4 linked regions of the Neurospora crassa OR74A genome follow. The protein of the gene in region 2 interacts with the protein of the main gene of each other region in a biochemical or structural test. Links are inferred from orthologs where the notes say so. Each region holds a gene or a part of one and is shown on either strand. Other genes may lie near its edges. The genes, in order: polh, pcn, mus-41 and mus-25.

Evidence for each region.
Region 1: the proteins of pcn (region 2) and polh form a complex in vitro, tested with the Saccharomyces cerevisiae proteins (9 studies listed by BioGRID, with this or other methods). The link is inferred for Neurospora crassa OR74A from reciprocal best matches to the Saccharomyces cerevisiae genes POL30 and RAD30.
Region 3: of the proteins of pcn (region 2) and mus-41, one has a biochemical effect on the other in vitro, tested with the Saccharomyces cerevisiae proteins (5 studies listed by BioGRID, with this or other methods). The link is inferred for Neurospora crassa OR74A from reciprocal best matches to the Saccharomyces cerevisiae genes POL30 and RAD5.
Region 4: the proteins of pcn (region 2) and mus-25 form a complex in vitro, tested with the Saccharomyces cerevisiae proteins (3 studies listed by BioGRID). The link is inferred for Neurospora crassa OR74A from reciprocal best matches to the Saccharomyces cerevisiae genes POL30 and RAD54.

What each region holds. Positions count from the first base shown.
Region 1 is NC_026501.1:1,953,189-1,961,228, forward strand, and holds polh (sister chromatid cohesion protein Eso1), read right to left. Parts: upstream 5,176-8,040; 5' UTR 4,930-5,175; coding exon 4,703-4,929; intron 4,641-4,702; coding exon 2,849-4,640; 3' UTR 1,497-2,848; downstream 1-1,496. Other genes in the region: NCU16343 (hypothetical protein), read left to right, coding at 6,018-6,356; NCU01935 (palmitoyltransferase PFA5), read right to left, coding at 6,725-7,467, 7,528-7,989. UniProt on the Saccharomyces cerevisiae protein: DNA polymerase specifically involved in DNA repair. Plays an important role in translesion synthesis, where the normal high fidelity DNA polymerases cannot proceed and DNA synthesis stalls. Plays an important role in the repair of UV-induced pyrimidine dimers.
Region 2 is NC_026501.1:9,445,518-9,453,068, reverse strand, and holds pcn (proliferating cell nuclear antigen), read right to left. Parts: upstream 4,675-7,551; 5' UTR 4,439-4,674; intron 4,318-4,438; 5' UTR 4,316-4,317; coding exon 4,274-4,315; intron 4,178-4,273; coding exon 3,458-4,177; intron 3,385-3,457; coding exon 3,367-3,384; 3' UTR 3,012-3,366; downstream 1-3,011. Other genes in the region: NCU10351 (pyridoxine kinase), read right to left, coding at 105-1,038, 1,115-1,531, 1,696-1,706, 1,771-1,827; NCU09240 (hypothetical protein), read right to left, coding at 5,376-6,076, 6,138-6,589, 6,644-7,467. UniProt on the Saccharomyces cerevisiae protein: This protein is an auxiliary protein of DNA polymerase delta and is involved in the control of eukaryotic DNA replication by increasing the polymerase's processibility during elongation of the leading strand. Involved in DNA repair.
Region 3 is NC_026503.1:33,998-41,984, forward strand, and holds mus-41 (DNA repair protein rad-5), read left to right. Parts: upstream 1-3,694; 5' UTR 3,695-3,880; coding exon 3,881-5,654; intron 5,655-5,722; coding exon 5,723-7,550; intron 7,551-7,625; coding exon 7,626-7,710; 3' UTR 7,711-7,880; downstream 7,881-7,987. Other genes in the region: NCU09518 (glucooligosaccharide oxidase), read right to left, coding at 55-533; NCU09517 (hypothetical protein), read right to left, coding at 1,845-2,811, 2,898-3,076. UniProt on the Saccharomyces cerevisiae protein: Probable helicase, member of the UBC2/RAD6 epistasis group. Functions with the DNA repair protein RAD18 in error-free postreplication DNA repair.
Region 4 is NC_026507.1:2,821,863-2,829,940, forward strand, and holds mus-25 (DNA repair and recombination protein RAD54), read right to left. Parts: upstream 4,262-8,078; 5' UTR 4,021-4,261; coding exon 4,019-4,020; intron 3,916-4,018; coding exon 1,410-3,915; 3' UTR 959-1,409; downstream 1-958. Other genes in the region: NCU02349 (UDP-glucose:glycoprotein glucosyltransferase), read left to right, coding at 1-928; NCU02347 (Sec7 domain-containing protein), read right to left, coding at 4,847-7,038, 7,097-8,078. UniProt on the Saccharomyces cerevisiae protein: Plays an essential role in homologous recombination (HR) which is a major pathway for repairing DNA double-strand breaks (DSBs), single-stranded DNA (ssDNA) gaps, and stalled or collapsed replication forks.

The sequences.
Region 1 (8,040 bases), about 7.5 Mb from region 2:
GGTTTTCTGGATACATGGCGGTAGGGACCCGGTGTCTGCCAATGGGAGCGCGTTACGCTAATGTATCGTTGAACTTATAGTCGCCACAGCAGCGCGGCCTAAAACGACGACGACAGTACGAATGCTCAATGGTGAATGATGGCTTGGATAGATGGCAGCCATACTTGGCCAACAGGGCGGCCGAGTCAACTTTAACAAATGTGGCCAAGCACAGCCGAGCATAGCAAACCACGACGTCAAAGTGAGGCTTGATAGGAAAAGCAGTTTGTGCACATGGACAGCCAGTGAAACGATATGACAAACAGCTTATCTTATACAACCGTACCCTCCCTCCCTTTTTCTTTCTTTCTCCTTTTCTTCACCGGCCAGGACGGCCTCGGAAGAGAGGCGTGGGAGACATTGGTTGGCTCTAGGGGACCCGATGTGGGCTACTGCCTTTAGGGGCTGCAGCAAGCGAAAGAGGCAGTCCTGCCAACCACTGAAAAACGACTCGAGATAGCCCAAGGACGGGGGCGGATGGAGCAATGGACGATGCCAGTGCTGATGGAAGACACAAAGGCGTACAGGCTCAGGAGAGATTAAAAAAAAAAAAATGCGGTGTGAAGATTGGCAAGCGTTGGGCTGTAAGTCTGTGGAGTGGAAGGCAAGCTTGAAATCGCTTCAGGTCGAAAGTCAACTTTTGCCCATTGTCGACAGGTGATAATGGAGTCGTTAACCTGCTTGCTACACTATACATTGGCGGAAAAGGTGCACTTGGTACCTAGGAGCGACCTTGCTAGACGCCGTCACCTGCCAGAGTGCGCTTTACGCCTTTAGGGATTATAGGTGTCAACAATCGGCCTGCCAGACTGGAGACTCCAGTGCCAATTGCCAAGTAGTGCAAACAGTCAGAAGTCAAACCTGGTGATGAGGCTGGCGTTGTTTTTTGACTTCCATTCTGAGGATTCTATTGGCTGTGTGGGTTGTTGTGGAAACGCCACAATCGCACGCGGAGGTGTGGGTGCCAATTAATCAACCGCAGGCGTCAACCCTCGGTGGTAACTCGTACCAGTCAAGAAAGAAATGGACACAGAGCGCTGCCAACGCCATACATACTGTAAAAGATTTTCCAGCGTCAAGGTGAACGCAAGGAAGGCCGCTGTTTTGGTAGTGGGTATTCGGTGACCCGTTTGGGCGTCAAGGGCGCAAAACATGAGCTCGACCGGGTGCGCAAAGATAAACTGAATGTGGGGACAATGAAGGCCTGACTTCAGACGGAATCAATAAAGCCATTCGTTGAGAAAATCATACCACAAAAGTTGATGTCAATAGAAGACATTTCGGATTTATACATAAGGAACAAAACGACCTCAAATGTCTACTACTGTGTGGTGCCATGAGGTCGTCTACCGACGGGTCTGGATGTCTTGCGTAGAATCAAGGCGGTCTTCGCAGAGTCACTGTCATATAGCACTCAATATTTAGGCGGCAAGCCTATGGTGATGGTTGGGAAGAGATGGACAACCAATGTGATTACATATCGAAAGCTGAAGGGTCGGGGCCAGACGCCAGACAGTGCTGGCTGACAGGCTGAAGGTGGCACATGGATGAAAGAGTCGCTTCGTCGCCGTGACATGTGTGAGGACAAGAATTCAAGAAATCATTTCGAGCATCCGACATGGTTTCCACATACCAATGGGTCGCCGACGTCGTGTGTGGAATTATGACCTATATGCCCATGCCGTAGCTTCTTCCACGCGGGTTGAAATGCATTTAAGACAAATTGGGCTAGCGAAAGGCTGTGTGAAGATACTTTCTAGTGGGCTTCGTGATGGAGACGCAATGGGGAAGCAATGGATCTGGGAACGGGCGGGTTCTGGCAACAATCGGGTATCAATGCGTCTGGAAGTCTGGAAGCCCAACCTTTCTGCAACGCCGCAAGCTGCCGCATGAGATGGGGTCTCCTCGCAGCCAATCAGCTTTGTCCGATGCTTCGGTTGGTGAGGGTGTAAGCTCGACAACAAGGCGGCCGTTTGGCTCTGAGCACGCTCACTGCCCCTAGTGATCATGGCCGAATTGATCCTTTCTTCCCACATCGGCAAGTAACCCTAGTGCAGAACATGCTCCTGCGTCGTATTTTTATTCTGGTGTACCAACCAAAGGGGCACATGCCGTCTCCGCCAGTTTGTCATACAGGGCCCCGATCATGACGAGTATCTGGACGCCAAATCAGACACAGACATTGACGACACTTTTTGTCCGTTTGTCTGGAGCTTTCTTGCTTCCGTCATGGTCCATGTTTGCCATAACAGTCTCCCGATGCTTTCGTGGAAGTCCCTTAAACTTACGAGTCTCTCAGTGACCTGTGAGGAAATCGAGCAGCAACTCTCACGAGCTCAACTCATTGCGCGCAGATTGAAGTTTTATCTTCCAGAGGGCGTTCCAACAAGTATAGGAGCTTGATAGCCTCCCCATAGATTCGGCTGCCATGTAGCAAAATGTGCTTCACGAGATTTTCGGAAGTGAGACTGCCGACCCGTTACCACCCATTAAATGCCAGAAGGGCATCGTGGATCTGTCCAAGCATTGATTGGTTTGTCCCTGGATTCTCGGTCACCGCCAGAACGCAGACTTTGGTGAGATGCCGTAGTCAATCCCGTCGCGCAGCTGAAGACGAACACCTGCAGCGAATCTGAAGAGCAAACCGTCCTCCACAAAGACTGCATGTGCAATCTTGAATAGCTTGGTCAGAGGCACCTTTTGATATCAAGCGTCGTGTTGTGGATTCATGCATTGAATTCTCCACCTGTGCGCTCATGTCACTTTGCCGTTTTCAGGGCATCGTGTCATGAAAATCGCGATAGCCTGTTCAACCGAACTTGAGTTTGCTTTGCCCGCGCTCGACCTTCTTAGGTCTACCTTGTCGCTTCGGCATCGTGCTTGTGGATTTTTGATTGCCGGCACGCGAGCTAGACGCTGATGGCTGATTGACGAATGTCTGGCTGACACGTTCTTGTTCTTGGAGCTCTTTGGCAAAATGCCAGTCCTGATGGCTTTGCAGTTCCTCGGGGCTATCGAGGCTGGCGTTGCATCGCGAGCACGTCAATGTGATGATTGGGCCGGGTTCTGATTCAGACTTCCCGTTATATACCTCATCGCCTTTGCCCACCCCCTCTGAACCGGCCGGCTCACCTGACATGACCTCCTCTTTCAGGGTGCCCAACCTTTGACCGCTTTGACCACTGATGGCCGTATCGTCGGAGCCCAACCCAGGATTAGCACCGTGGGATAACTCTCTCTTTGCGAAAAATCGTTCTATCCCGCCGTTATCCAGGCGCCTTCGCTTCTCTGCCGGGCGGATCTCGGTTTCAGAGTCAACCGTCGCTGTCCCTGACCCCGTCTTGCTTGCCTGAGCCTCCTCGCCCTTCAACAAGAAAGCGCCAATGCCCATGTTTCCAGTGACACCATCCTCAAATCCTCCAACGCTAAGGCTGAGGTTGGAACATGGCCAAACCTGACCCTCGGAAACAATCTGGCTTAACAAGTTCCTGGCCAGCTCTAGCAAACTCTCTTCGTCGAGCTTACGGCCTTGAGGGATAGGACCCTGACGTGACCGGGTTTGAGTGCCGTGACGGTGATGGAGATTGATGGTCTTAGGCCTCCGCTTATTTTCCAAAACACCTTCTTCGACCAACCGGGAAAAAATGTCAGCGGCAAAAATGCGCAGCCATCTGACAGCCTGCTCGAAGGAGGTTATACTAGGACGAAAGGACTTGGCCGACAGCATCGACTTGATTTGGACGCGCGGGTTTACCTCGCTGGTATCGATCCCACGCACGGTGTTGTAGACCCAGACGCCTGTGTCATCGCCTAGCTTCGATTTTAGCTGCTCCACCGAAGCGCTGAGCAAGTCTTTGACCGTGTCTGTGTGAAACATCTGACTGATTTGTTCGCCCAGCTTGCCGCCAAGGTTCCGCATCTTTGTGAACTTGAAGTCGGACAGAAAATGCTGAATTGAACGATTCCGAAGCACCGTCTGTTGGTTGGGCTTTCGGTAAGCCGAGCCCAACTTGCTCAACAGCTTATTACAGGCTACACCTGCGGAGCACGTGTATCCAAGCTTATCTTTGATGGCTATCCGCACCTTGCGCACAATTTCTGAGCCTATAAGAATAGCCACGTCGTCCCAGTCCGGATCCTCAAGTTCAGCGTTTTCGTCTGGCAGGTCTACCAGCGCATCAGCCTGCCAGTCGAGAGCGGTGATGGATGGCATGGGTAGCATCTCGGTCGGGTCATCGTATGGGGGAGGGTTGGCAAGCTCGGGAAAACGTTCGAGCAGGATAGTGTGCACTTGTGCCGAGAGGTCCATAAACACCTCATCGATGCTCGCTTTCTCCACCTTTTGAAGATGAGGTGGGAGTTCTTCTTTGATGATAGCCAGAATCTTACGGGATTCAAGTCGGTAAGGGTCTAAGGACACTTTGTGCGTCGCCATGTTGGCCGCGGCATCCGGGTGGTAATCCCACTTGGCATCGCCTTCTCTCCATGTTGCAACGTGTTGATGTATAAGATCCGGGCAGAGCTTTTTTGCTTCCGACACGTTGCAATGCCGGCCGATGCCAAAGCTACGAGCAGGATAGTTGACTGCAATCAATCCCTGCCTATACAAGGTCAGTTTGACGTCAGAGAATGCCCAATAGGCACATTTGGAGACTGGGTTTACCATTGCTGAACGGCAACGGGCTTGTCGTCTGGTATCCCTAGTCGCACCATTTCTACCTGAGCGTAGAAGCAATCGAGATCCAGGTGAGCAATGACCCTGAGCGGACACGAAGTACTCGAGGCAGCGAGTTGCTGGATGTGACGATACGTGAACCGTGAACGCTTCATGCCGGGAGCGCCCGCGGGAGACAAGTCGCGAAAGGACTGCATATGGGGCGGTGACGACATGGCAGCGTATGGGCGGAATCTAAAGCCAAGGGTGTCGTCATTTTCATTCGGTCGGGCGGGCTATGAAGACGGGCCGGCTACGGCAATCAGAGTCGTGGTGATCGCGGATGGCCGAGAGACGTTCATCGGTGACGGAGGCGCATGAAGACGGCGTCGCGACGGGTGGTTGTGAGAGTGCCGAAGTCACGTCGAACGGAGCAAAAGCGCGCTAAGGTAAGGTGGGAACTGCCGCGTAGTCCAGTGTCCAGACTGCCCTGTGGAAACTGTTTGGAAGCTGACAGGATCGGAGGAAGTTCGAGCCGGGAGGTCCCCCACAGCGGGTAACTCGATAGATACATCCGCGCCTATCAGTGATGAGATCCCCACGTGCGGGAGTCCCACCCTGCAGGTCACGACTCTGCTGTGCCAACTCCAGTTACATAGCTATGTACCTCTGGAGGCGGTAAATCATCATCGAACTGAAATGCAGAGCCGCGAAGTCATCCCGCGTTTTAGCCTAACCCTTCAGTCCAAAAGGGCCCCTTCCCGCATATGCGAGATACGCTAGACATGTACACCTGACCTGAAGTTGATGTGGCAGAACGAACGGTCCACAATACAGCCCGTATTCTGCCCAAACACGCCAATGCCTACATCGCCTAGTAAGGCGCGGGCGGGGGCAGGGGGGAAGGGGGGTTACATGAACGGATGCTATCGATGTTGCGTTCGAGATATCTAATGTAGTGTAGGGACTTGCGCGCGGGGATACCTAGGCACCTTGCCGACTGCTCTAGTCTTGGAAAACTCGAAGTCCTGGGCTACCATCACATATCAACACCACCTCACGGCATCACGACGACAGGGTTCTCAACCAGTTATATTGTGCCGAAGTCGCGGCTAGAAGTATGTGCTTTGAACATACAATCGTCTACAAGCAAATGCGCATGGTCCATCACACGTTCGACGAGCGACTTTAGTCCTGCCCTGGAGAAAGAACGAACGAGATACTACAGCCAAATGGTCTCCTCCGATACTCTCTACGCAACCTGAGAATCGGGAACTTGAACCCAAATGACAACTCACCACCTGCATACATACTGAGTTACCATATGTTCCACACGTGGGGGTTATACGATGCAATGAACCCTACGATACTACCAGTTCGCACGATGCATCATTTTCTGTTATCATCGGTTATCACTCGTCCTTCAGATTGCACTCGGATTTCCTTCGGTTCCGTCCACATCCTGTCAGTCCATGTTGGTCTCTCAGAGTTCCACTGGAGTTGCGTCACGCTATTGAGATCAAGTACGCAGGGCTTACCATATTGGAGTCGGTTAGGTAGGAATCAAGCAGCGGCACTGCATGATTGCAATTGCAACAAGCGCCATGCTTCTGACCTTTACGTTCAACGCTATCGAACTTCCACTTTTTCAGGATATGGGTAGTAACAAGGACTGTGCTCGGCCGGCTCGAAAAAAAAGTTTCGTGTGGATGGAGAGGGTAAAGTCACTGAAGAGGTTACCACAAAGGGGAACATGCTGGGAAGTTGTATAGAAATAGTACCTGACTTCGTTGGTGAAAGGAAGAAAGAGCCTCGAAACACTACCTGCTCATACCCGGAGAAATAGCAGTTCGACACCATACATGAGTGCCGACCGTAAGCCAGCATTAAAGTATCTAATCAAGAGTAAAAGAAACATGACCGCCGGGCCCTTCGCTGAGCGCCGGCAAAAGTCTAGAAACCAAAATAGTATGGTAAACAGAGGACATAGACAAATGGAAGGGGGTATCTAGATTAATAAGTTGAAGTTGATCACAAGTTCGCCGACCCATGGGCCCGGTCCTGTGATTCCTGCTCCTGCTTCTTTTGTTTCCTCTCTTTGGCCTGTGATTTCGACGACAACTCCTTCTTCGATGTGGTAAACCCCTTCTCGTCGTCGGTTAGGTGCGGAAGCCTAAACCTTTCTCGCACTCGCAGATATATGGGGCCCATTTCGTAAAAGCTCTCGTTGTTCTCGTACGTTGCGCAAGGTGAGTCCTTGAGGGGCAGTAGCCAGTCAATGATGCTGTTGCCCATGACGGATTTCCAGTTTCGATAGAAGCCTAGATCCCACGGGTTCTCGCCCAGCTCGGTTTTCACGACAGCAAAGGTGCGCGTTGCGAGCATATCCCTCATATTGGCCACGCCTCTTGCACCGACGTCTCCAGGTAACGGAGTGCCCAAGTCTCCGGATTTCGATATCGGATATGTGACGACCTTGTACTTTTCACAGGATTGGATGCCTCTCGGGACCCGAATGGCCAGGTTATGCACGAAGTTTTTGGACTTGAGGTAGTCGATATTTGTCATGTTCTGCAGCGCATATCGCGCGGATGTGATGAACATGGTTACGGCAAAAAATCCCAGAAGGCCGGATAAAGCCAATATGGCGACCACAAAACCATCAAGGCCGTGACCGGTATGAAGTCGTTGCCTCGTGCAAACAGCGCAAGCAGTGATAACTACTATGGAGCAAAGCGATGCGTAAAACGTGAACTGGATGAAGTACTTAAACGCTGCGCACCAGGATTAGCCGAGTCCGCCATCAGATGTATCGATTATTTCTTTCCACTTACACGTCTCACCCACGATTCCCCCAACCCACGGGCAATAGTGATCCATCTTCTTGACGCATCGATCGATTTCACTGCAGTGATGCGCCCTGTCTGGCTTCCAGGTGCAACAACTGTGACACCATCGCGGCTTTCCGTCTGATTCGCAGATAAAAACGTCTTTGCTGTAAAAGGACTCGAGCCCAGGGCTATCAGGGTCATCGTCTGGTCCGACATTACTGTAGGCGTTGGCCTCTATATCGCCGGTCTGTTTATGCTTGTGCCGTCGCCAACTTGGTTTCTCTTTTTCTTCTTTTTCCAACCGCCATATCGCTCGCTGCCCGAGGGGAACAACGCCGGGATTTAGTTGAATAACCAGGAATAGTCGTATATAGGTCAAGAGCATGAACGTGAAAGTGACGAGGTAGAAGACGAGGAATGCGATCGCAGCGCTGGGTTCTTGACGCCTATGGAGGAAGTGATCCACTGTAAGAGGGTTCCGGTCAGTGGAAAAGCTCCGCGTCAGACGGACTTGCA
Region 2 (7,551 bases):
CCCGCTATCCAATGCTGATCCCGTCATCCCACACCCCTTCTATTCCTCGCTCTCCCTCTCGCAAAGATATTAATTCCACACCCAAGCAGATCCCCCCCAAAAAACTAAGAGCACTCTATCCTCCTAGCCCTAAACTCCACCTTGGGATGCCTCAAGCTATCCAAATGCCTGACCAGCCTCAACTCGGCCGCCTTACTCTTCATCAAATGTAACCTCTTCCTCGCCTGCACTTCTTCTTCCTTTTCCGCTTCCTCCACTTGTTTTCTCCTCCTTCGTTCTTCTTCTTCTTTTATCCTCTCTTCCGTCTTTTCCTCATCTTCGCCACCATCGCTATTACCATTCGTCGTCGTCGTCGTCGTCGTCGTCTGTGTTGAATCCAGCCTAGGTTTCTTATCCACATGCCCATCCTGATCTGTCGTCCCATTGCCATTCGCATGTCCACACCCATTAACCCCATCCGTCATCGCCTTCTCTCGTTGAAGCTGTTCATCCACAAACCCCTTAGCCCTCTGCACCCTCCCCTTCATCCCCTCCGCCGTCTTCGTCAACACCTCATGCATACTCGCCAACACCTTCTCCGCCGCCTTGGCAAGCGGCAAGTCCAGCGCGTCCACTGAGTCATCTGACAACCACGATTCCCGTTCTGTCAAGTCTCCTTCAGTGTTATACACCGCTTCTCGCATGCGCACAAGCATCAAAGCGGAAAACATATCGCCCGTTCCGGAGAAGTAGCAGTCGATGGCGGGGAAGCTAATCTGAAACGCGCGCGGTTGGCGGGCAGAAGTCATTGTTGAGCCCACTACGCTGAGGGTCTTGGTGCGGGGCGGTTGCGATTGGCCTTGGCCTTCTTCTTGGGGTGTTGGTGTGGGCGCCGAAGAGCCGGGTACGGAGTTGGGCATGGTGGAGGAGACGGTAGTAGCAGCGTCGGGAAGGGAGACGGAAGTGATGATGATGTGCGGGATGGCGTAGCGCTCGTGCAGGACGGAGATGGCGCGGGTTAAGGAGGGCATGTCGACTATTTTGACTTCTGATAGGAGTCTGTTATCTGTTAGATTAATAACCCAACAACAAGAAGAGAGGGAAGGGGAAAGGGGAAGAAAAGAAAGGTACGCACTCGGCCTCGAATTGGTTCGGGAGTATCAGGTCTGCGTACTGCACCAGCCCTTTATATACCGGCACCACATCCTGCGCGACGTACAGACTGCCGTTATCGCCCATCACGGGGTCCAGCACCCAAAAGAAAGATCCAGGCTTCCCGCGCGCTTGAGCCTTTTCCTTAAGTTCTTTCGCTATCTCCCCCACGGCTTCCAGCGCTGGAGCACCGGGGACGTATCCGGACAGCATCATATCAAAGTCATCGAGGTAGGACTGTTTGAGACCGCGGTAGAGGTCGGTGATTTCGGAAGCGGACACGCGCGTGCCGGTGAATTGGCGGTAGCCCGTATGGTTGCTGAACTGCACCGTGTTGAGGGCGGCGACGTCGCAGCCAAGGGATTGCATGGAGAAGACGGCGATTTTGTTGCCTACGTAGCTGAGGGAAGACACATTGATGTTAGCCAATGCCTTTCTCTTCTTCTTCTTTTTATTCTTTTCCCTTTCGTCTCGTCTCGTCTCGTCTTGTCTGGTTGGGGCTCGGCTGTTCTAGTCGTCATCGGGGGAGGCCGGCGCAAAGCTTGTAGGTAAATCGGAACTTACCCAGAGACAACCTGAACACTCCCAGTCAGCAATTGATTTAACCTGGTATTAATTGAAAAGGAGAAGTAGACTTACATGGCTGGCGACCGCCAACACGCGGGTGTCGGGGACTGGAGGCTCTCCGTCGCTCATGGTGACCTTGGTAGAGTACTTTGTATGCGATTCGGCTTTTGGTTGTTGTAGAGGAAAGATCGAGCTCGAGACTTGTTGTAGAGACCTCCTTCGTTCGAATTGGTTATGTTCGGTAGATGTCCTACGACGTAGAGTGGCGGCGCAAAGGATCTCGATCGTTGGTAGAGAGAGGTACGTAAGCCGAGTAAGCCGAGCTGGCGATTCAACGAACGGTCTGTCAATTCGGTGATATAAATCGTCTCTGTAAAAAATAGTCGGCCGCTTGAAATCTCGACGATATGTTGAGAACTGGTGCCAAAGTTAAACGATGTAGAGAATGTTTGTTGTTGTCAAAAGGAACTAGGTCTGTCTCGAACTCGCAGAAGAAGTCCGAGGAAGGACTGCCAGTGGATGATCACCGGGTCAAGAAAAGATGGAGGAAAGATTCCGGAAAAAGAACTAAGCAAGCAACACTGTGACACACCAAGTGAGTCTGACTCTAGACCTAGTCAGTCAGTCAGCGGTGAAAGAAGAAGACCGTATATAGCCGAAAGATTCGATCAATTGGAAATAGTATCATCAATCAAATAAACTGCGATATCGCCCTCTCGTGCCACCCATTTGCCCACATCTTGATTCGAGTCCTCGAATGGTCCAGAAATTCGCCGCTAACGGTCATGGCACAGGGCCGGCCAGTCAATGACTCTTTTTTTTTTCCCCAGGAACCACCCATGCCCCGCCAAAAAGTTTCCTGCAGGGCGGGTTAGGGGCAACTTGAATGCGGAGTCCATTCAGCTGCTGGGCGCGCCCCGGGCCCTGGGCTGTTGTAGGCGGGAGGGGACGTCACGCAGGTGGTGGGTAGGTAAGTTACATACATTGAATGAACAATGTGGGGAAGCTGGTGAACACCAGGAACTTCATCGGATGAAAAAAAAAAAAAAAAAAAAAAAAAAAAAAAAAAAAAAAAAAAAAAAAAAAAAAAACAGTCGGGTGGAAGATTTCTGGAAAACACGCCGACTGACGGGAAGTGGTGATGTCAGTACTGGTGTACTTGTGATTGAACCCACTTCTGAGATACCTACTTTCAACGCCAAGCTGAACTCCCGAGAAGCGATGATTACCATAGTGATACAGGGAGGACAGTTTGCCGATATCAATGTTAGAAACCATCAGACAAAAAAAAAAAAAAAAAAAAAAAAAAAAAAGGAAACGACAACAGCATCGGGTTCCTTGGTGAAGGTGTGTTGTTGGAGGCCATCGCAATAATCATTGACACCTCGTCGTCTCCCCTAAACATTCATCTTCGCAGCAGAAAGAACAAAACGCCCTCTAAAACATTTGTGTGTAGTGTACTAGTGCCAGACTCTTTCAAAAACACAGATTTCTTTTTCTTCATATCCCTTTTCTTCTTCTCATCACTGCATCACCCCTTATCTTCTACATGACTTGCAATTCTCCTCCTCCCCATGATTTTATAGCAACTCGAGGTATACATGAAGGCATAGTTTCGTGGTGTTCGTAACAAAGATGTGGTTCGGTTGTTGGAGGTAAATGGGGCGTTTACTCCTCGTCGCCAATCTGTGAATCAGAACCAGTTAGCATCACGCCTGACAGAAAACAACCACCCAGAAAATGACAAACAAAGACATACCTTGGGCGCAAGATAGAACCTCAAGTAGCTGCTAGCCGAAATGTTGTACTCGACCAAAAGGGGCACCTCGTTGGAGAGGCAGATCTTGACCGTGCTCGACAGCGCGCTCGCCTTGCAAAAGTTGACCAGGTACTTGAGCGAGAACGTGAGGGAAACCGGCTCGCTCAACTCAATCTCGATATTCTCGCTGGGCTTATCAACGTTGGTGTGCTGGCGGAGGGTAATGCTGCCGTTGCCAATGTCGCCCTGGCAGCTAAACTTGACGCCGTCCTTGCTCGCCTCAATGTTGACGCTCTCGCTCATGGCCATGAGGTCGGTGGTGATGCGCTTAAACTCAGAAGACGGCATGCTGATGGTGGCCGCGTACTCGGTATCCGGAATGCCCAGGTGCTCCTGGTCAATGTCCATGAGCTTGAGGTCGTACTCGGAGATACGGTCGTTTTCGGAAGATTCGAAGACGAGGTTGAGCACGTCGGGCGCGTCCTCGGCCTTGAGCGTCAGGATGTCCTCGTTCTGGGCGGCGCGGAGCACCTTGGTCAGCGACGTCAGGTTGACGCCGAGCGCAATGTTGCGGTCGCACCGGAAGGGCGAGAAGGTCTCCGTCTTGAGCATCATGGACACGAGCGCGACGTGCGAGTTGTCCATGGCTTGCAGGGCGATGCCCGAGTCGTTGCAGTCGAAGTTGCAGTCCTGCACGAGGTCCTTGATGGCGTCGACGACCTGGACATCATCGTCATCATCATGACAGAGTTAGTGGGGGTCTTCTAGCTGGGAAAGGAAACAGACAGCACTTGACAGGAAGAGGACATGACATACCTTCTTCAGGATCGACGCCTGCTCCAACCGTGCTTCAAGCATTTCTGTTGTTGTGGTAGTCCTCCAGTCAGCAACCCATCACTCCAGTTCTCCAGCTTTTCTTCCTAGTGCCGGGCCAGCGAGCAAGCGAGCAGGCAGCTTCACGCTCAGACAGAGACGACATACTGATGGATGTGAATTACCGAACTCGACGGGGGAAAAAAAGACAAAGAGGGAAGAAAATATGCGCGCGCTGGGTATCACTTTCGGGAGAGAGAGGCGCTCGTGGTTTGACGAAGAAAGAAGAGAGAAGAAAAGATTTGGATTTGGGAAGAGTTATGGTTTTGTTCAAAAAGCTGCAACAGGCAGGCAATGGACGATAAAAAGAGAGGAACCACCAATACCACAGGTGGTGCCGGGACACCCACTTCGCGACTTGACGCGCCTGCTAATGGCAGCTAAACGCGCTGAGCCGGGGTTAGGCTTAATTGATTTACCGCTTCAGGCTAGCTCCCGGTGCACGGTCCCGTTCTCCAGCGCTGTTAGTCCGCTTTCAGGCGCAATCTTCGCGTTTTCAGTGGGAGCTGTCGCCCTGAATCCCCTCTTTCTGTTTGGATCGTGTCTCGACGGCAATGTCGAACCAAAGGTATGCTGCTCACTTCAAGTTCCGATGATATGACTTCAACTATTCGACTCCCTCATTTCTGCGCGAACTCTGTTCTACCTCCATTCTCCAATATATTTTGATTATTACATTATTTCACCTATCTTACACCCTCCCCCAACTCAAAAAAGAATTTGTTACAGAATGCCCGCCCAAGATCGTCTGTATAAACTGTGTAAACGCCGTTAAATTCTGTGTCCCACATTGCTCGCTTGCCTGCCCCAGCTTTCAAATGTTCCCATGGTCTGTATGTCCGTCAAAACGCCATTCTACCCAAAGTTGTTGTTGTTGTTGCTGTTGTTGCTTTTCAAGAAAACTGGCAAGCTGACCTTCTCGTCGTTGTTGTTCGCCCCTCTCTTTTGTCTGCGCGCAATGCCTTGATGCCATGTAAGATTATAGTGGTCAAAGAAAAGAAACCCGAAAGAAAGACAGCGCGAATGCCGCAGAGTTTGTCTGTCGTCATAAAGAAATCCTCGTCGGCGCCGCACTCCTGCCGTTTCCCCCGCCTGGTCCCATGGTTGTATGTCTCTTCGGCCTCAGATTAATCACCATCTCCAACTCCTTCAACATGCCCCTACTCGCTTCCGCCTTCTCTCTCTGCATTGCCCTCATCTCTCTCTCCTCTTTCATTTTCACCAATCTCTCTTCCCTGGTCAGCATACTCCTGGGCCGAGCCGATAGCGCAACCGCCTCAAACACATCCGGCTCGTTGGGACTTGGCGAGGAGTTTCGTGTGGGAGACGTCTCCCCGGTGAGCGCTTTCAGCGCATCCTCCGCTCCGCCGCCGGTTTCGTTCTCTTCGCCGACAGTGGTCAACCCGCTTAGAGAGGTAGCAGGCGAGTACAGCATGCTCATAGACGAAATACGTTTCTCGTTGCGGTCGATTCCCGATGCTAGGGCAGCCTTGCCATCCTCCCAGGCTTGCTGCAGCATCTTGAGGTCTTGGCCAATGGACTCGTATTGCGACAGGAGGTCGAAACCAACTTCAGAGATGTCGTCGGCTTCGTTGAGTGCTTTCTCGGATTCTTCACGCAATAGTGCCAGCTTGGCTTGGAGACCGCGGATGCCCGTCGATAGAGAGTCGAGCTTGCGGAATTGCGTTCGGCGTTTCTCGCGGTTGGGCGAAAGAGGGAACTTGGTTTCGGGGATAGCGGGGAAGCCTGAGTGGTTTTGTTAGCTGTTGTGTGTTTGTAGTGTGCAAGAATACGGGATGAAACTCACTCTCTTCATCGCTCAAGATGAGACGAAGCCTCTCGTAGCAATCACCTGTCAGACTGCTCAGCTGGCTGAGACACTGAGCCGCCGTCGACCACCGCACAAAGTCGCTGTTATCTCCCGTAGCCTCAAACGCAAGCAAAGCGCAGAGAAGCAGCTTGCGGATGGTATGGAACCGAGCAGCGGCAATTTTGAGCACCCGTAACGACTCCGCCTCCTCCGTCGCGACCTCCGGAAACCCTTGCATCGCATCGGAAACGTCAAAGTCGGTAATGTCGTAAACGTCGTAGTACTTTTCCAGATCCAACTGTTCCGAGAGTCCCTTCACCGCTGTCGTCACTTGGATGTAACTCTTGATCATATCGGCAAACCGCTGCTTGAGAGCCTTGCGCAGGCGTCCGCATCGTCTCGTTTGGCTTCGGTCTTCGATTCTGCTGATAGGCGGTAGTGGTGCGCTCCTGGTTATTGTTAGCCGCAGTTAACCCCAATATCCTCCGGAAGACCATACTCACAGCCTATACCCCCTCGACACCAACTCAACCTCCTGAACAAGCGACAGCGCCGCACTCGTAGCACTATCCCAATCCTGACTCTTCGCCACAAAAGTAGCAACCTCTGCCAGCGCCTTGTTCCGCACATATCTCAGCCACTGCTTCCGGATATAAAAGTGCGCCACCAATCCCACCGCAACGGCAACCACGACGGCAACCAGCACCCCCTTTTTGGTCAGACGAGCATATCCTCCCAAACACAACCACCTTATCCCCAACGCCACCACCAACGCTCCCGCAGCCGTCGCAACCAGCCCCGTCGAGTTCGGTAGTACGACATCGTTATTTTGCTCTTTCGAACTATCGGCATCCTGATTTCGGTAAAAGTGATTAAGTCCAGCAACCGAGTGCCCACTCAACAACTGCGAAGCGACGATCGTATATCGGAACTGCTCGATGAATTTCTGGTTGTCGGCGCGGTCTATCCTCGCTGTTACGGCTTTCTTTTCACCACGAACAAACGTCATTAGTTCAACACACATGGCCCCTATGATTTGAGCGTAAAAGATCCTTACAGAATAGGAGTCATGTAGCGAGCCGAGCGAGCTGTATCGCTTCATGCGGTGTGGGATCTCGAGTTGTATTGGCTCAGGGGCGTTCTTTCGGAACCGCTTGCGGACCATGGGGCGGCCTACGGGAGCGAAGTTGGGAGAAGAGGGGGGTGAGATGCTGTGTTCGGAGAGGCGGTCATCGTGGGCATCGTGGAACTGGCCATTGTGGTCGGACTCGGAGGCTGGCGGTGTTGGCCAGTCATTGTTGCGTGTTTCTTCGCCTTGATCTGTCATGGCAAGTAAGTGATGCTGTGCTTTAGAGATGGACAGTGAGTAGGTAAGCGAACCCTTGAGATAATTGGCAAGAGGCTCGCAATC
Region 3 (7,987 bases), on a different chromosome or scaffold from region 2:
CCTCCTTGGTTAGCCCCGGCCAAGCCAAGAAGTAAGGGCTTGACGAAAACGTACCCAGGACAAGTCCCATGCGAGAAAGCTCTTTTGCCCTGTTTATACAGCTCCGTCGCCACATGCCCCAGTCTCGCTCCCGATTGAACATCTGCGATATTCGTCGTCTTATCCAGCGTCACCTTCGACATGCGATCCAACTCCACGACCAGATGCCCGTTCTCTCCGCCCAGACCAAACGAAGCATAACTGTGCCCTCCTGACTTGGGGGTAACTTTAATTCCCAGCTTGGTGGCACAGGAGACGGCACCTTGGATGTGTTCAATGGTGGTAGGGACCGCGATGGCTACTGGCGTGTAGGGCAGGCGCTGGTTGAAAGGGTTGACGTCGGTACGCCACTCGGAGGAGCCTTGAGCATCGGCTGGAACGCCGGCAGATTTGAGGCAGTCGTCGATGGCGGCACGCTTGTTGAGTGGAGAGCTTAGGGGGTTGGCGAGGATGGGGGCCGCCGTGGCAGTGAGGAGGATGAGTGGAAGCCACATGATGGACGAGGTATTGGATCGGAGTAAAAACCTATTTAGTGGGATGGGACGACCAAGTCTGAAGCCTGGCGATGTACGGAAGGCAGCTCAGTAGGGATGATATAGCTTGGTGAGTGCTTCATCTTGTCGAACCGGTCATAAGATACTGGCCTATCGGAGCTGTTTCTGTTCTTTCCCCTTTTGGCACACAAGAGATGTTAAAAAATGGGATGAACATTAGGCCCTTCCAGCTTCCCACGGCTGGACATAATGAATTGCGGGGGTTATAACGCAAGAACACGGCATCAAGCTCCCCGGGGGGTTAGTCACTGAGCCGTCTCGGCGGTCTTTGACCGTGAGGTATTTGATACGGAGAGTTATGTGACTGTAGGGATCCCGTCGAGCCGTTGCGGATTAGAGATTCGGAGGGAGGCAGTGTGTGGAAGTTCGCCAGTGATTGGTCCGGCTAACATATCAGCCTACAGATTGCTTCCTTCACATATGCCAAGATTGATGAACATGTTCAGCAGTCATTCCAAGCTCTTGGCAACTTGGGCTGAATGACGTTGAAACAAAAGTTTGTACGGAATATGGACAAAGGACACGCGTCGGCACCTGTCAATGCGACCCTGCAACCTTGTCGAGGATTCTTGACGAGACCGAGGCGAGGGCGACTAGAACTACTAGCGAAATGCCAGCCCTGTAGTGGAAATCCTTCGGCGGAAGAGCAAGCCGCAGGGCCACTCACTATCTTGAAAACCGATTGCGAACGACGGTCTTTATTCTTGGTGATAGGCCAGAAGTTGGTGGGTGAGCTTGGGGGTGATTGGGCCTGAACGAAGATGGTTTGGGTGTTCGCAGAGGTACAATTATAGGCTAAAATGTAGCCGTTACCCATGTTCCCACTACTCAGGCCCGGCGAGAACACGCCACACGGAACGCTCTTACAAAGTGGTTGCTCTGCCCCAGATTGCAAGCAATATCGGTCTTGGTGATGGATGTTGTGCTTTCAACTACCACCATCTGCAAAGGGGTCATGTGCCTCTCTGTCGTACGATGGTCCTACCGAGACCATGTCAACACTTTGCCTCGAGGACGCTTCGTGCTGTTTCAAAGGGACAAGAAGACCTGGGCCGATGCTGTCGACGATTGCAGACTTTTGCCTATTCATGATAATCGGGCTAAGCGATAGTCACGGAGTGTACGCTCGCGGTCTCGATCGAGATCGATCCTGTGTCGTCACAGACGGTCAGCACCAAGAGTACGATACGTGATGGAAAGAAGAATCTCGATTGTGGCTCGTTGGCCTCGTATACGGCACAAACAGAGGACTCAAATGTGCTGTGTCTTTAGAGCACGCCACAACCTCCAGGGAAGCTTCCAGCTCGCCTTGACTTTGAACGGGTCGAAATCAGCCTTCTCCAACCTTTCCAAGTAATCGGCAGCCGGGACTGCTTCCAACAGCACCCCAAACCCCCTCTTGATATCAGCTTGTGTTGCGTCGACCCCACCGCTGGAGTAGATATGCTCTTGTTCTCCCTCATGCTCATAATCATGGCCCACCTCTTCCCCGGCCTTCAAGTTCTTCAACATCTCCCTCGCCGTTATCAAATGGTCATTGGCCCTTGTAGCCACCTTGAACACGGAATCCTGCAGTCCCTCAGCGTTGGGTCCGTGGCGAAAGACATCTTCTTCTCTGACCCCCACCTCGGCCATCACATCGAGGGGTAGTAGCAGGGCGGGATGCCGGGTGTTGCCCACGCTCCCAGCCGGACCCTGGATGGGCTGCGATGGAGCGGCGAGAACGGGAATGCCGCGTAGTGTGGCTACGATGCCGCACGCCTTGCCGATGTGACTAGCCAGGTGGTCCATATGTACTGATCGCAAAGGCATGGAAGCCAAGGTCACATACATCAGCGTCGCGTACGTATTCTCGGCGTAGTCTTCCAGCGAGTTCAAGCTGACAAAGGGCCTGTTTTCCATGTGTTGCTCGCGCGTGTTGATCAAGCGTAGGAGCCAGAACTTGAGAGAGCTGGCGCTGTTGGGGCCGGCGCGGGCTTTGAGGTCTTGGATGGCTTGGTGGAGGAGGATGGAGATGGGCTCGCGTGGGGGATTGCCGGCAAAGACGCTGTTCACGGTTTCACGCCAAAAGGACATGCGCATGCGTGCGATGGTCGGGTTGGAAACTGTCTCGGGGAGACGGGCAAGTTCGAGGTTCAGGGTACGGAGGGCGTTGTAGGCGTCCCGAGAGGAAGGAGGGACGAATTGTCGGAGGAGAAAAGCTTCGTAGTCACCATGTCTGGGGTGGGGGGAGAAAGAGTTAGCAGAGAAAGAAGGGCAAGTGGGAAGAATGGCTAGGTATGGGGAGGGAAAGCAGAGACAGACTTGAGCTGGTTCTCACAGTACTGACGGGCCTTTTCGACGTCGCCGTCTGTGACTGTCGCGAGGCCTCGTCCGGAGAGGGAAGGCTGCCACGAAGGCCTCTGAGGCTGGAGACGTAGACGGGGCCGTAGAGGTGCCCGCCCCAGGCCATGACAACAACCTGCCGCTCGAGGGGATATCATGATCAAAGAAGCGGTACTGTTTTCCCCGCTGTCACAAAGTGGTTCACATCTCTCACTGTAACAAGAGACAAGACAACCTCGGCAGCAGCGGGGAGGAAGACAAGCCGACGACGACAGGACATGTTGATTTGACAATTCGCTGAGACCATGTTACGCTGCGCCCCTCAGCATCACAAGCGCGGCGCCTCTAAAGCCTTTATGGTTAGCAGCGATGACGGCATTAAATGGCTTCAGTGGCCCAAGCTTCTGGCTTTCCATACAATCCAGTACTGGTTTGCTTGTTAGTTCGAGACCTCGCATCAACTTTCCGATGCGTTTTCATAGCTAATCAATGCGTGATCTTACCATGGATACACCATTTGTAATATTCTGAATGCCATATCAAATAGTACTAATATCTTTTAACCTTTATACCAACTATTTCGATCTCTTCTTAGAGGGTTTAGGACTAATTGGGATAGATTAGGTTTCGTCTAGTGTATAGAGTATGGTACAGTACCTAGTGTACCCAGCTAACAAACAACCCAGCACTGGACTGTACACTGCAGAGGGCGTAATTAATTACCTCTAGGGTGGCGCGCAATCACCTGACAGCGGGAAGGCGGAAACGAATGCACGCCAAAGTTTCACGGTTGCCACGGCACAGTCGCGTCTCACAGGCGCAACACTGAAGTTCACCATTGCAGTTGGTGCATTCGAGTCGGTTGGGTGACAGTAGCTGACTGATACCGTACACCCGTGGTACGACTACCTAGAGGTACTGTACCTACCTTGAACCTAATGGGCTGAACAACCAACACCTGGATGGACCGACACGACACCATGGACTTCACCAACGAGCCTCTCTCCAAGAAGCGCCGGTTCCTGGGCGACCAGGGTGATTCGGACCATGTCGCTGGCGGCCCCAGCTCGTCTCCCCAGTTCAGTGCTCCCCCGAGCTCACCACCCAGGAAGAAACTCCTCCAAGACCCAAACAGTGAAGTCCAGCCACGAGTTTCCAAAGATGCGGACCACAATGACGACGACGACGACGACGACGACGACGACGACGAAGAACGCCCAAGATTCTTCACAGACGATGGCACCCTAACGCCCCACGCCACGAAGATATGTGCTCCCTGGCTCAACGACATGCCCAAACCAGACCCTAGAAAAGGATATCTCTTGAAAGACGTCGATACTCCGATCGCGACACCCCGGGACGTGGCACCCCCAGTGGTCGAGTCCCCCCAGCTGGCCTTCGACAAAGACACATTCGAAGCTTTTGTTGGCGAAAAGGTTGCGTCCGATATCCTCCACGTCATCAGCAAGAACTGCGGCAACAACATCGAAAGAGCCGTCAACATGTACCTGGATGGAACATGGAAAAAGCTGCACCGGGCGCCTCCAGTCAGAGTCAACTCGCATTCGCCCCTGGTTGTAGGAGGTCAGTCTCCCAAGAAATCATCAACATCACAAGCACGGTCCCGGTCGCACGCTCAAGCCCAACCACAGCCGCAATCGAACACACCAACAAAGGTTCTCCCATCAATGCCAGACGCCCGCTACGTCGGCGCATTTGGTGTTGAGGGATGGGCTACCAGAAGCGGGACAGGCCTCCTCAGACACGGTGACAGCGTCAAGATTGAGCGCCAAAAGATCCAACCACCTACCGTTGCAAGAAAAGGGCAGACCAAGCCTGGCACCCCGCAGTCCATACCACGAGTCAGCGCGGCAGCTGCCAAACGTGTCGATGTCATAGTCCGCTTCAACGACGCCAGTGGCAGGGAACTCGGCCGTCTAGCCAAAGACACAGCCAACTGGGTGTCAACGCTAATAGACCAGAACATCTGCAGATTCGAAGGCATCTGTGTTTACGCGCCCGAGCGTCTACGAACGAACGAGACCGTCTTCTTGCAGCTCAAGTGCTACATGCTACGGTCTGCCTTCTTGGGGAGAACCCTCCAACTAGCCGACAATAGGGCTGCCGGGTTCCACGAGAAAGACGAGACAACAGAAGAGAAGGACCTGCGACTGAGACAAGTGGCGCTTGTCAGACTGTTTCAAGAGATCAACATTGTTCCGTCTCGAGGCAACGCCGCTGCCGCCAAGGACGCCAGGAAAGACCTTCTTGAAGCAGCAGATTCGGCCGAGAAGAAGGCGATGGACAAGGCCAAGGCTGGGGACCACAACACTAACGGATTAGCTTCTCCCCCCGAAGAGGCCGAAGAGGGCCAGGAGCTCGAACAAGACCAACTCGACGCGCTGTACAAGAAGGCCCAATCCTTCGACTTTAGCACCCCCGAGGCTGAACCAGCTAATACCTTCGCCATGACCTTGCGTCCCTACCAGAAGCAGTCGCTGTACTGGATGCTGGCCAAGGAGAAGAACCAGCGAACAGAAGACCGTGAAACATCCATGCATCCCCTATGGGAAGAGTACGTGTGGCCGACCAAGGACCATGACGATAAGGACCTACCTGTGGTTCCTGACCAACCTTGCTTCTACGTCAACCCATACTCTGGCGATCTGTCACTGGACTTCCCCAAACAAGAGCAGCATTGTCTTGGTGGAATCTTGGCAGACGAGATGGGACTTGGTGGGTTTGCCTTTTACATTTTTCTTTTCTCTTTGACCTGATATCCAGCTCACAGTCATGTATCACAGGCAAAACCATCCAGATGCTTTCCCTGATCCATTCTCACCGATCCGAAGTAGCCATCAAGGCGCGGGAGGCTGGCCCTACCTCGGTCAACAACCTCCCACGCCTACCAACAGTCTCTGGACAGAAGACGACAATTGACGCTCCGTGCACAACCCTTGTGGTTGCCCCCATGTCCTTGCTGGCGCAATGGCAAAGCGAAGCTGAGAATGCTTCCAAGGAGGGCACGTTCAAGACCATGATGTACTACGGGGCGGAAAAGAATGTCGATCTGGTGACCATGTGCTGCGAAGCCAACGCGGCCAACGCTCCAGATGTGATCATCACCAGCTATGGAGTCGTCCTCTCCGAGTTTACCCAACTCGCCACCAAGAATGGAGACAGACTCAGCAGCCGCGGGCTTTTCTCCCTCAACTTCTTCCGTGTCATTCTGGACGAAGCACATAATATCAAGAACCGCCAAGCTAAGACCTCCCGCGCATGCTACGAAATTGCCGCCGAACACCGCTGGGTCCTCACCGGAACCCCCATTGTCAATCGCCTCGAAGACCTCTTCAGCCTGGTCCGTTTCCTACGCGTTGAGCCATGGAACAATTTTTCCTTCTGGCGGACCTTCATCACCGTCCCCTTTGAGTCCAAGAACTTTGTCCGCGCCTTAGACGTCGTCCAAACCGTCCTCGAACCGCTCGTCATGCGCCGCACCAAAGACATGAAGACCCCGGATGGCCAGTTCCTTGTTCCGCTTCCGCCCAAACACATCGAGATCGTCGACATCGAACTCTCCGAGCCTGAAAGGGCAGTCTACGACTACGTCTTCAACCGCGCCAAGCGAACGCTCTTTGACAATATGCAGGCCGGCACCGTCATGAAGGCGTTTACCTCCATTTTTGCACAGATCTTGCGGCTCCGGCAGTCCTGCTGTCACCCTGTGCTTGTTCGCAACCAGGAGATCCTCGCTGATGAGGAGGAAGCCAATATGGCCGCTGACGTTGCGGCGGGTTTGGCAGACGATATGGATCTCCAAACTCTGATCGAGCGCTTCACCGCCACCACAGACGACGCCTCCAAAACCAACAACAACTTCGGCGCTCACGTTCTTAGACAGATCCGTGACGAAGCAGTCAACGAATGCCCCATCTGCGCCGAAGAACCAATGATCGACCAGGCCGTGACAGGATGCTGGCATTCTGCGTGCAAGAAATGTCTGCTCGACTATATCAAACATCAAACCGACCGTAACGAGGTCCCGCGGTGTTTCCAATGTCGCGAGCACATCAACATCCGCGACATCTTCGAAGTCATCCGCCACGATGATGACCTGGAGACATCCTCTACCCCAGGGGCAAGTCCCGAGCCGCGCATCTCCCTACAACGCGTGGGCGCCAATGACTCCAGCGCCAAAATCGTCGCTCTAATCTCACACCTCCGCACCTTGCGTCAAGAGCACCCCAAAATGAAGTCCCTCGTAATTTCCCAATTCACATCCTTTCTCTCGCTGATATCCTCCGCCCTCACACGTCACAAGATCTCTTTTCTTCGGCTGGATGGGTCCATGTCCCAGAAGGCCCGCGCCGCTGTTCTTACCGAGTTTCAATCCACCAACAAGTTTTGCGTTTTGCTTCTCAGTCTCAAAGCGGGTGGTGTCGGGTTGAACCTGACCAGTGCCAAGAGGGTCTACATGATGGACCCGTGGTGGTCCTTTGCGGTGGAGGCGCAGGCGATTGATCGTGTGCATCGCATGGGGCAAGAGGATGAGGTGAGGGTTTATCGATTTATAGTGAAACAGAGTGTGGAAATGAGGATGTTGCGGGTGCAGGAGAGGAAAAAGTTTATGTGAGTTTGTCCCCGATCAGTGATTTAATGACATTGACTGGAGGTAGGTAAAAGGCTAACCTGATTTGACTGCAGAGCAACATCACTGGGGATGATGTCAGACGAGGAAAAGAAGATGCAGAGGATCGAGGATATCAAGGAGCTGTTGAGCTCAGACTAAGCGTATCGATATGTATGCCGGATGTCAGGGGAAACTGCAATCCAATCCATTTTCGTTGTTAGGCGTCCCGAGGTCCTTTTCTTGCATGCAGCGGCGTCGGTATACTTACCTATCTCGTACATAGGGCCATCTCAGGTCTTCATAGAGCAATAGAATCGCGCATACCAGAGCCCCAATTCTAACGTTGGCACCAAGCAGGTCAAGCGACCCGGAGGTGTAGGTGACTCTACGACTACGGGGAAAGCGTGGAAACTTCTGAGTTTTGGAAATCTGGATG
Region 4 (8,078 bases), on a different chromosome or scaffold from region 2:
CAACATCTTCTCCGTCGCCTCCGGCCATCTGTACGAGCGCATGCTCTCCATCATGATCCTTTCCGTCATGGAGCACACAGACCACTCGGTAAAATTCTGGTTCATCGAGCAGTTTCTCTCCCCCTCATTCAAATCCTTCCTCCCCCACCTGGCCGCCGAATACGGGTTCAAATACGAGATGGTCGCCTACAAATGGCCGCACTGGCTACGGCACCAATCGGAAAAGCAGCGCGAAATCTGGGGCTACAAGATTTTGTTTTTGGACGTCCTCTTCCCCTTGAGCTTGGACAAGGTCATTTTCGTGGACGCGGACCAGGTCGTCCGTACGGACATGTACGACCTCGTCAGCCTCGACCTGGAGGGGGCGCCCTACGGGTTCACGCCCATGTGCGACTCGCGAACCGAAATGGAAGGCTTCCGCTTCTGGAAGACGGGTTACTGGGCCAACTACCTGCGGGGCCAGCCGTACCACATCTCGGCGCTGTACGTGGTTGATCTGCGCCGCTTCAGGGAGCTGGCCGCTGGCGATCGGTTGAGGCAGCAGTATCATACGCTGAGCGCGGACCCGAATAGTCTGGCGAATCTGGACCAGGATCTGCCGAATCATATGCAGTTCCAGATCCCGATCAAGAGTCTGCCGCAGGAGTGGTTGTGGTGCGAGACGTGGTGTTCTGATGAGACGCTGACGAAGGCGAGGACGATTGATTTGTGTAATAATCCAATGACGAAGGAGCCCAAGTTGGAGAGGGCGAGGAGGCAGGTGCCTGAGTGGACGGTTTATGACGAGGAGGTTGCGGCGTTGGCTAAGAGGGTCAGGGAGCAGGAAGAAAAGAAGGCTGGGGAAGTTTTGGAGGGGAAGAAGGTTGAGGAGCAAGTGATTGTGGAGGAGAAACATGAGGAGAAGGAGCATGTCATTGATGAGTTGTAGATCTGCAAAGCGAGGTGTCATGGCATGGGTGGGTGTTAGTTAGTCCTGTTAATGTAGCGTGCGCCTATAGTAAGTACATTTGATAGATGATATATAACCTACTTCTCAGGTCCTTCTTACAACCAGCTGAAGGTCATGAACATCAAATACTGCGCTATATAGACAGTAAACCGCCACTGGAGTCTTCACTAACCCCAGCAGCTGATCGAAGGATGAATGCTACTGATAGTTTACGTAGTGTGATGATTGTTACGATGTCTAGCGATATGTGTATTTGTAAATCGTCCCATAACATAACAGACCCGAAACACCAAAACACCGTACGCTACATGATACTTGTTTCTCAGCTGAATCTCACCATCCGACGACACCCAAAACTCCATCAGGCTGCGTTGATTGCACGCACCCTCTTACCCAGCATCCCCACCCTCCTCGAAAAGAGAGAGAAAGAAAAAAGAAGAAGAAAGGACAAACCACCCACTCAATGAGAAATATACTGAAACACAGCACTAACATCCCTCTCCCCAACCTCCTGCCTCAACAAATGATCATGAATGCTCTTCATCCCTCCACTACCACCATTCGGGTCGCCGCCCTTTCCACTCTTACCCGCCGCGTCCTCGCCCTCCCAATGGTTAACAAAGTGATTCCAAGTACTAGTATCGCCATACAACATGGCCTGCGCCTTCATATACTGCCTCCCATCCGGTTTACACCGCTTACACTTGAACGTGTCATGGGTATCGCTCTTGGTCCCGGGTCTATAAGTGAACAGCTCGCGCAGCGAGTCCAGAGAAAAGTGTCTCTCCACATCCTCGGCGCTGTCGACGACGCACGACGACAGGGATTGCTTGTGGCTCTGCCGCTGGAAGATCTTTTCTTCAATGGTACCCGTGGCGATGAAGCGATAGACAAAACAGTCCTTCTTCTGGCCATCACGCCACACACGCGCCAGCGCCTGCTGATCCGCTGCTGGATTCCAGTCCGGGTCGAAGAGGACGAGCCGGTTGGCACCAATCAGGTTGAGGCCGCACCCACCGGCTTTGGAAGAGAGCAAAAAGACAAACTCGTCGCCTTCCGGGTCGTTGAACTTGTCGACAAGTTTTTGGCGTTTGTTGACGTTCATGGTACCGTCTAGTCGGAGACAACCGTATTGCCGGTTGCGGCAGAGACGCTCAAAGAGGTCAAGCGTTTGGGTGTAGTTGCTGATGAGCACAATCTTGTCATTGGTGTCGGCGCGGATGCGGGCGAGCATGCGGTCGAGCACTTGCATCTTTCCGGAGTACCATGGCTTGACGTCGCGGTCACGGCCACGCGCTTCCTTTGGTACGTAGTCTTCTGGCCAGTACTGCTCACAGCCAGGCAGATCGGCCGATAGGTCGAGCAGGTCTGGGTGGTTGCAGAGCTTCTTGAGGATGTTGATGGCCTTGAGAGGTTGAGAGCCCTTGCCGCGCAGGAGAGCTTGGATGTCGGGGGAGGCGACAAAGTAGTTATACAAGTCAAGCTGGAAGGGAGCGAGGTTGCAGAAGACAACGTGCTCGTACTTCACGGGGAGGTACTTGGAAAGAATGTCGTTGGTACGACGAATGATGAACTTGTTGACGATGGCAAGGAGTTCAACCAGGCACTCGTCACCACGCTTCCGCTCAGCTTCCGAGGCGTCAGCATCGCGGCCGCGTAGAATCGGAATCTCGAAGCGTTTGCGGAACTCGAGACGAGTACCGAGGAGATCCGGGTTGGCGAAGCTGATCAGAGCAAAGTACTCTGACAGGTCGTTCTGAATGGGTGTACCCGACAAGATGACCCTCCTCGAAACATTCAGGCTGTTCAAGGCACTGAACGTCTGACTGTCTCCGTTCTTCAGGCGGTGGCCCTCGTCGCAAAGCATCAACCCAATGGGAGTCCCCTTAAGCTCGTCCACATTAAGCCTTAGCGTCTCGTACGAGACAATAATCACCGGTCTCGTCACGGACCGTCCACTGGCAATCGCCCACTGCCGCAGCTGCCTCGTCAACTCCTCCTTCGAGGCCTTTCCATCAATGGCAAAGGGCGTGATAGCGTCCGCGCCCAACCATTTGACCAACTCATTCGCCCAATTCCTGACCAAACTTGATGGACACGCCACAATCGCCTTTTGGATCGTTGACTTTCCAGCATCCGGCGACTGCTTCAACAGCGTCCACAGTAGCGTGATGCACTGCAACGTCTTTCCCAAGCCCATCTCGTCTGCCATGATGCAACCATTCGCCTTCTCATCAATCATGCCCGTCACGCACCGGTACATGAACCGGACACCCTCGATCTGATGCGGCCGCAGCACCTTGGCCAGCCTGGGATCAATGACCACTGGGACACGAGGGTGCTCACCCTCGACTTTCTTCTTGATGCCCAGAATCTCCGCCAGACTCTTGTGCACCAGCGGCGCATCAACCTTGACCTCTGGTTCTTCCTTCTTTTCTTCAATGGCCTCTGGCGCCGTATCCTTGGGCTTATCATCCACTGTCGGATCATACAGCACAATAGCAAACTCGTCGCACGGGTCATGCAGCGGCTTAGCCACAAAGACGGCGCCCTGTCTCAGGCCGAGCGTGGGTGGGGGGCGGTTTGGGTTGTACGCGGTCGTGTTCTTGTTGATGAGCGGCACGGAGAACGCCTTGCGGAATACCTGCGACTTGTCTTTGACCGCGAACACGGGGAACTTGTTGGCGTCGCGGTTGGCGAGGGCGAGCCGGTCGGCGTTGGTGTAGGGCTTGTCGGCGCCATCCTCGTCGTCTTCGCCACCAGCACCTTTATAATCGATCTTTCTGCGCTTTCGTGCCGGCCGGTCGACGGCTACGGTGCGCGTCGCGGAGCCGGGGCATTTGAACGGCTTGGTGAGTTTGTCGAGGGATTGAGGTGTGGGGAACTTGCTGCGTTGAGTGAGAGCGAGACTGTTGGTGCTGTTGTCCTTGGAGGCGGCCTTGGGTGTTGAGACCATGGATGCTGACCTATCGAGATCCAGAGTGTTACTTAGTAGCCGGATGTTGAGAGTGGTGATGTTGGTGATCAATGGTAATAGGAATACATGGGGAGGTTACGGTGTCTGCTTACATCTTCGCTGTAAGGAACGGGCTTTGTTACAACGGCCTCGGTAGCTCCCTAGGAACAACGCTAGACCTGTTTCTCTATTTGGGAGTTTTTTTATTTCACGCCCGTCACTCAAAAGAACAACAACCGAAAAATCCGGAAGGCAAATGAGGGGGGAAGAAAAAAAAAACCACCGCAAAAAGACTGAGAAGCGGGCTCCAGGCAGGAAGATGGCGATTGGCGCCTGCTTACCTTAACAATGTTGACTAAACACAGACTGGACGCGAAGATCGGAAGGGTGGGGGGCGAATCGCGCCTTCCTCACACGGTATCACATGATCTTGGCTAGCTTTCCCTGTTAAGTAGTTACGTAGGTGACTACGCAGTACTATGCACAGTGTGTGGCCAATCCTAACCCTTGATTGTTCGTCTCCACTTTTGCATCATCCACAGTTTCGTCTGATTGGTCACTGTTTGTCACACCTAACAATGCCGTCGTCGTCGTTCTATGTTGAGGGCATTCGCAAATGCTCCTCAGTGAGACCTATGGTCCAGACCGACAAGTGCCAGGAAGGTATTAAATATGTATTCTCAAGTCGTAAGCACCCCAGAAAGTAACGATAGACAGAATTTGTCGTGCATGCATGCTCGCTTGCTCTATGCCATGGTATAACGTAAAGGAAGTGTGTGTGTGTGTGTGTTTGTGGTGTTTAGCGATAAAAGATCCCCGTCCCCATAAAGTCACGCTTGTCATCTTCGCCAAAATCTACCTTGAACGCCTTTGGCCCCTCTTTCTCTTTCTTTCCCAAGCTCTTCACGACATACCATATCATCCATCCATTATGTTGTCCCTTAGCCCTTGACCTCCCTTTCCAGCGACGCATCCATGACCTCACCAGGTGAAGGTTCGCCTTCTCCATCACTGTCAACCACATCCTCACCCCTTGCCGCGCGTCTCGCGTTCTCCCTTTCACGGTAAATCTCCGACCTCCTGATATCTGCCTCGCGCAGGCTGTCTACATACGTCCTGTACTTCACAATCTCGTTGAGGAGATGCTGGCTCTTCTTCTCCCAGTTGGTCATCGCCTTGGCCGCGTTCACTGATCGAGGCGAGAATGCCAGAAGCATAGGACTCCTGAGCGAATTATGCTTTTGGAAATCTTCTTCAAGACTCCTGACGTAGGCGATGAGATGCCCAAACTGTTCACGCTCCGAAAGGGTGCTGGGCCGGAGGGACTGCGAGGGCGGTGTCCACTCGGCAATGTGAATCTTATCGCCTGGTAGCTTCGAGGACGATGATGCGTGGTTGGGACGGGGGAGTGCGCCGGGGCCGCTGAATGTGACACCGAGGGCGCCGCTGCTGGCCGAGCTTCCCGGCCGACCAAAGTCGAAAGAAGAGCTTCTAACACTGCGTCGACTATGGAGCGAGGCACGGCTGCCAGAGATCGTGCTGGAAACCGCCATCGCTGCCATTGCCGATGCCGCGTTTGCTGCGCTGCCAGGGCGTGAATGGCCCTTGTAGTTGCTGCTGACGCTGTTGCTAGCAGGACGCCCGGTAGTTCCACCGCCGCCGCCGCCGCCGCCACCTGTGTTGTTCAGGTCGCCATTACTTTGGATGCCAGACACCCGGGTCGAGTTGATGACCGCATCACTCCAGCCGTATTCGATATTGGAGACACCGCCTATCATGGGATGGGTGCTTGACCGCGCGCTCCAATAGTTGGCTGTAGTCACAAATTCCCTGCAAATCTCGGCCGTTCCGACCTGGAACAAATGGAGCGCCCCATTAGGTAACGACAAACACCAGACGTGCGGACGGGCTCGCGAATAGCCTGGTGGCGGCATAATCGTCGCCAGTGTCTGGCGCAGCGAAAACGTGCCCACTTTTACCGCATTGTCTTGCCAGTTGCCACCACCAACAACTCCTCCCTTTGGTGCGTTACTGCGCATTCCCCTTTTCCTGCTCGTTGATTTGTTTGGAGAGAAGGAGAACAAGCTTAGCTGTCCCTTTTGGATGACTGCAAAAACCTCGTTCCATGTACGTTCCTTGGACCGTTTGTCGACGGTTTCCATGTGGTGTTTGTGCGTAACAATACCCTCCTTGACCCATGGAGGACCGGCTAATTCCAGGGACTCGTCTTCCAGCAGCTCCCCGGCGTTGAAATCCTCCGTCTTGCTGATCGCGAGATCAAGTGTGTTGTCTTCGCGTATGATGGCCTGACTAAGCGCATTTGCAAACCCAATCGATTGTTGATAGTCGCCACGGAAGGAGGAACCAAAAGAGTCCATGGACATGGTCGTGTGGGTCCTACCCAGCGACGCTTTGCTCCAGGTCGCCGAGGATTCGGTGGGGCTCCAAAGTGAGTTCCCGTCGTCAAAGCTAGTCCGGCTCGAATTAAAGCTAGTTCCAAAGCCTCTTGGCCTCGACCGACTCTTTGAGTTCCATCTGGATGAATTCGCCTTGGGCCCTTCGGGAATCCTACCCCGAGTGGAAGCCATACCCTCCGATGGCGCTTTACTCAGTACACTAGGGCTCCGCTTGAGCACACCCATAACCGATAAGCTGCCTTGGGCGGTTGTTGAGAGACCCGTCGTATTGGTGGCACCGCCAAATAACGGTAGGCTTTCGTCGCGGATGGATGAGTAGATGTCTTTGAGGACTGCTTCGACCTGCGATTCCCATCCCTTCAAGGGCCCATCAAAGGGCGCTCTTACGAGAGGTCCGCAACTGTCAGCGGTAGACGAATCTGTTATTGTACCAAAGCCGGACGTCGGCCGTGCTGGCGGCTTGAAAGAATGTCTGAAACTGTGTTTGTTGTCTTCACTAGAGTTGCGACGGTTGCCCTCAACGCCAAGACTGGCACCTTTGCCAGGTAGAATACTGGGACGTTCAAATGCTTCTGGATTCGAATCCTCGAGTGCCTGTCGGATCGTGGTCATGGTGTTCTTGATGAACTGGCTCTTGGTCATCTTGTGTTCAATATCAGCCATATGCAAGTCCGTATTGAGGAGCATGATGGAGTAGCAAATGGTGTGAATGATGTCTGTAACGTAGATTGTCAGCGCAAGAAACACTTCAACTGCATTTCAAGCAGGACTTACCCATTGATTTGAACCCATGGTTGGGATTGCATTCACACCATCGGTTGGAGAAAGCGACCAGAATCCGATCAACCTGCTGGGTTTCCGCCCTCAAAAGGAGGCGGTTGCAAAGCTGTCGCAAACTAGCACAAACACTCATGTTCTCAAACTCATAGTTTTCCATGTACGCCCGGAGCGTGCGTTGCCGGACAGGACCCTCCTCACCCATCCATGCGGCCGCCTTGTCTCTGGCAATGAAGTCCTCATTACCTTCGTAAATTTTGAGCGCCTTCTGCCGGTCATCGTCGGTGGGGTCGCCGACCACGAATTGTTCGGGCTCGTCGAGTTCTGATTTGCTGGCCGGCTTGATTGATTCGGCAGACTTCAAGCCACCTGCGCCCGAGCCCAGCGAATTAGGCTCGGTATTATCTACCCGTAAACTAGGCAAGCTGGGTTTCTTGCTCGCTTTGGAGGACATCTTGGAGTTCTGACGAGCAGGAGCCTTCAAGTCCTCCTTTGACTTGCCAAGGCTAGGGTAGCTCTTCGACTTGGACACCGTCGGCGAAGAGGATCGTCTCTTCTTTTCCTTTGTTTGACCCGGCCTCAGGCTTAGTTTACGGGACTCGGTGCGAGAAACTGTCTTCGATTCGGGACTGTATTCGCTCTCGCTATCATCGCGCAAGAATGATCTCGGGGGTGAAGTCATGGTTCGATCGAGCGCTGGCCTGCCTGGCATTTCTATTCGAGGCTGTCTGGCCTCAACCGAGTCGCTAGAAGAGTTAGGGTCGATGGCGCGTATCACGGCTTTTGGACTCGGTTCGTAGTCGGGAGAGAATCCTCTTTGATAACTATCCTTGTTCCGTCTGATCTCGGGAGAATCCTCCAAAGATCTGTATGGCGCGCCCGAGTCAGAAGCCTCTATCGACGATAGAGGGGCGTCGGCAAATGATTCAATAATAGGGCTATCCTGCAAGAACGGATCCATAGCCCGCCTTGAGTTGCC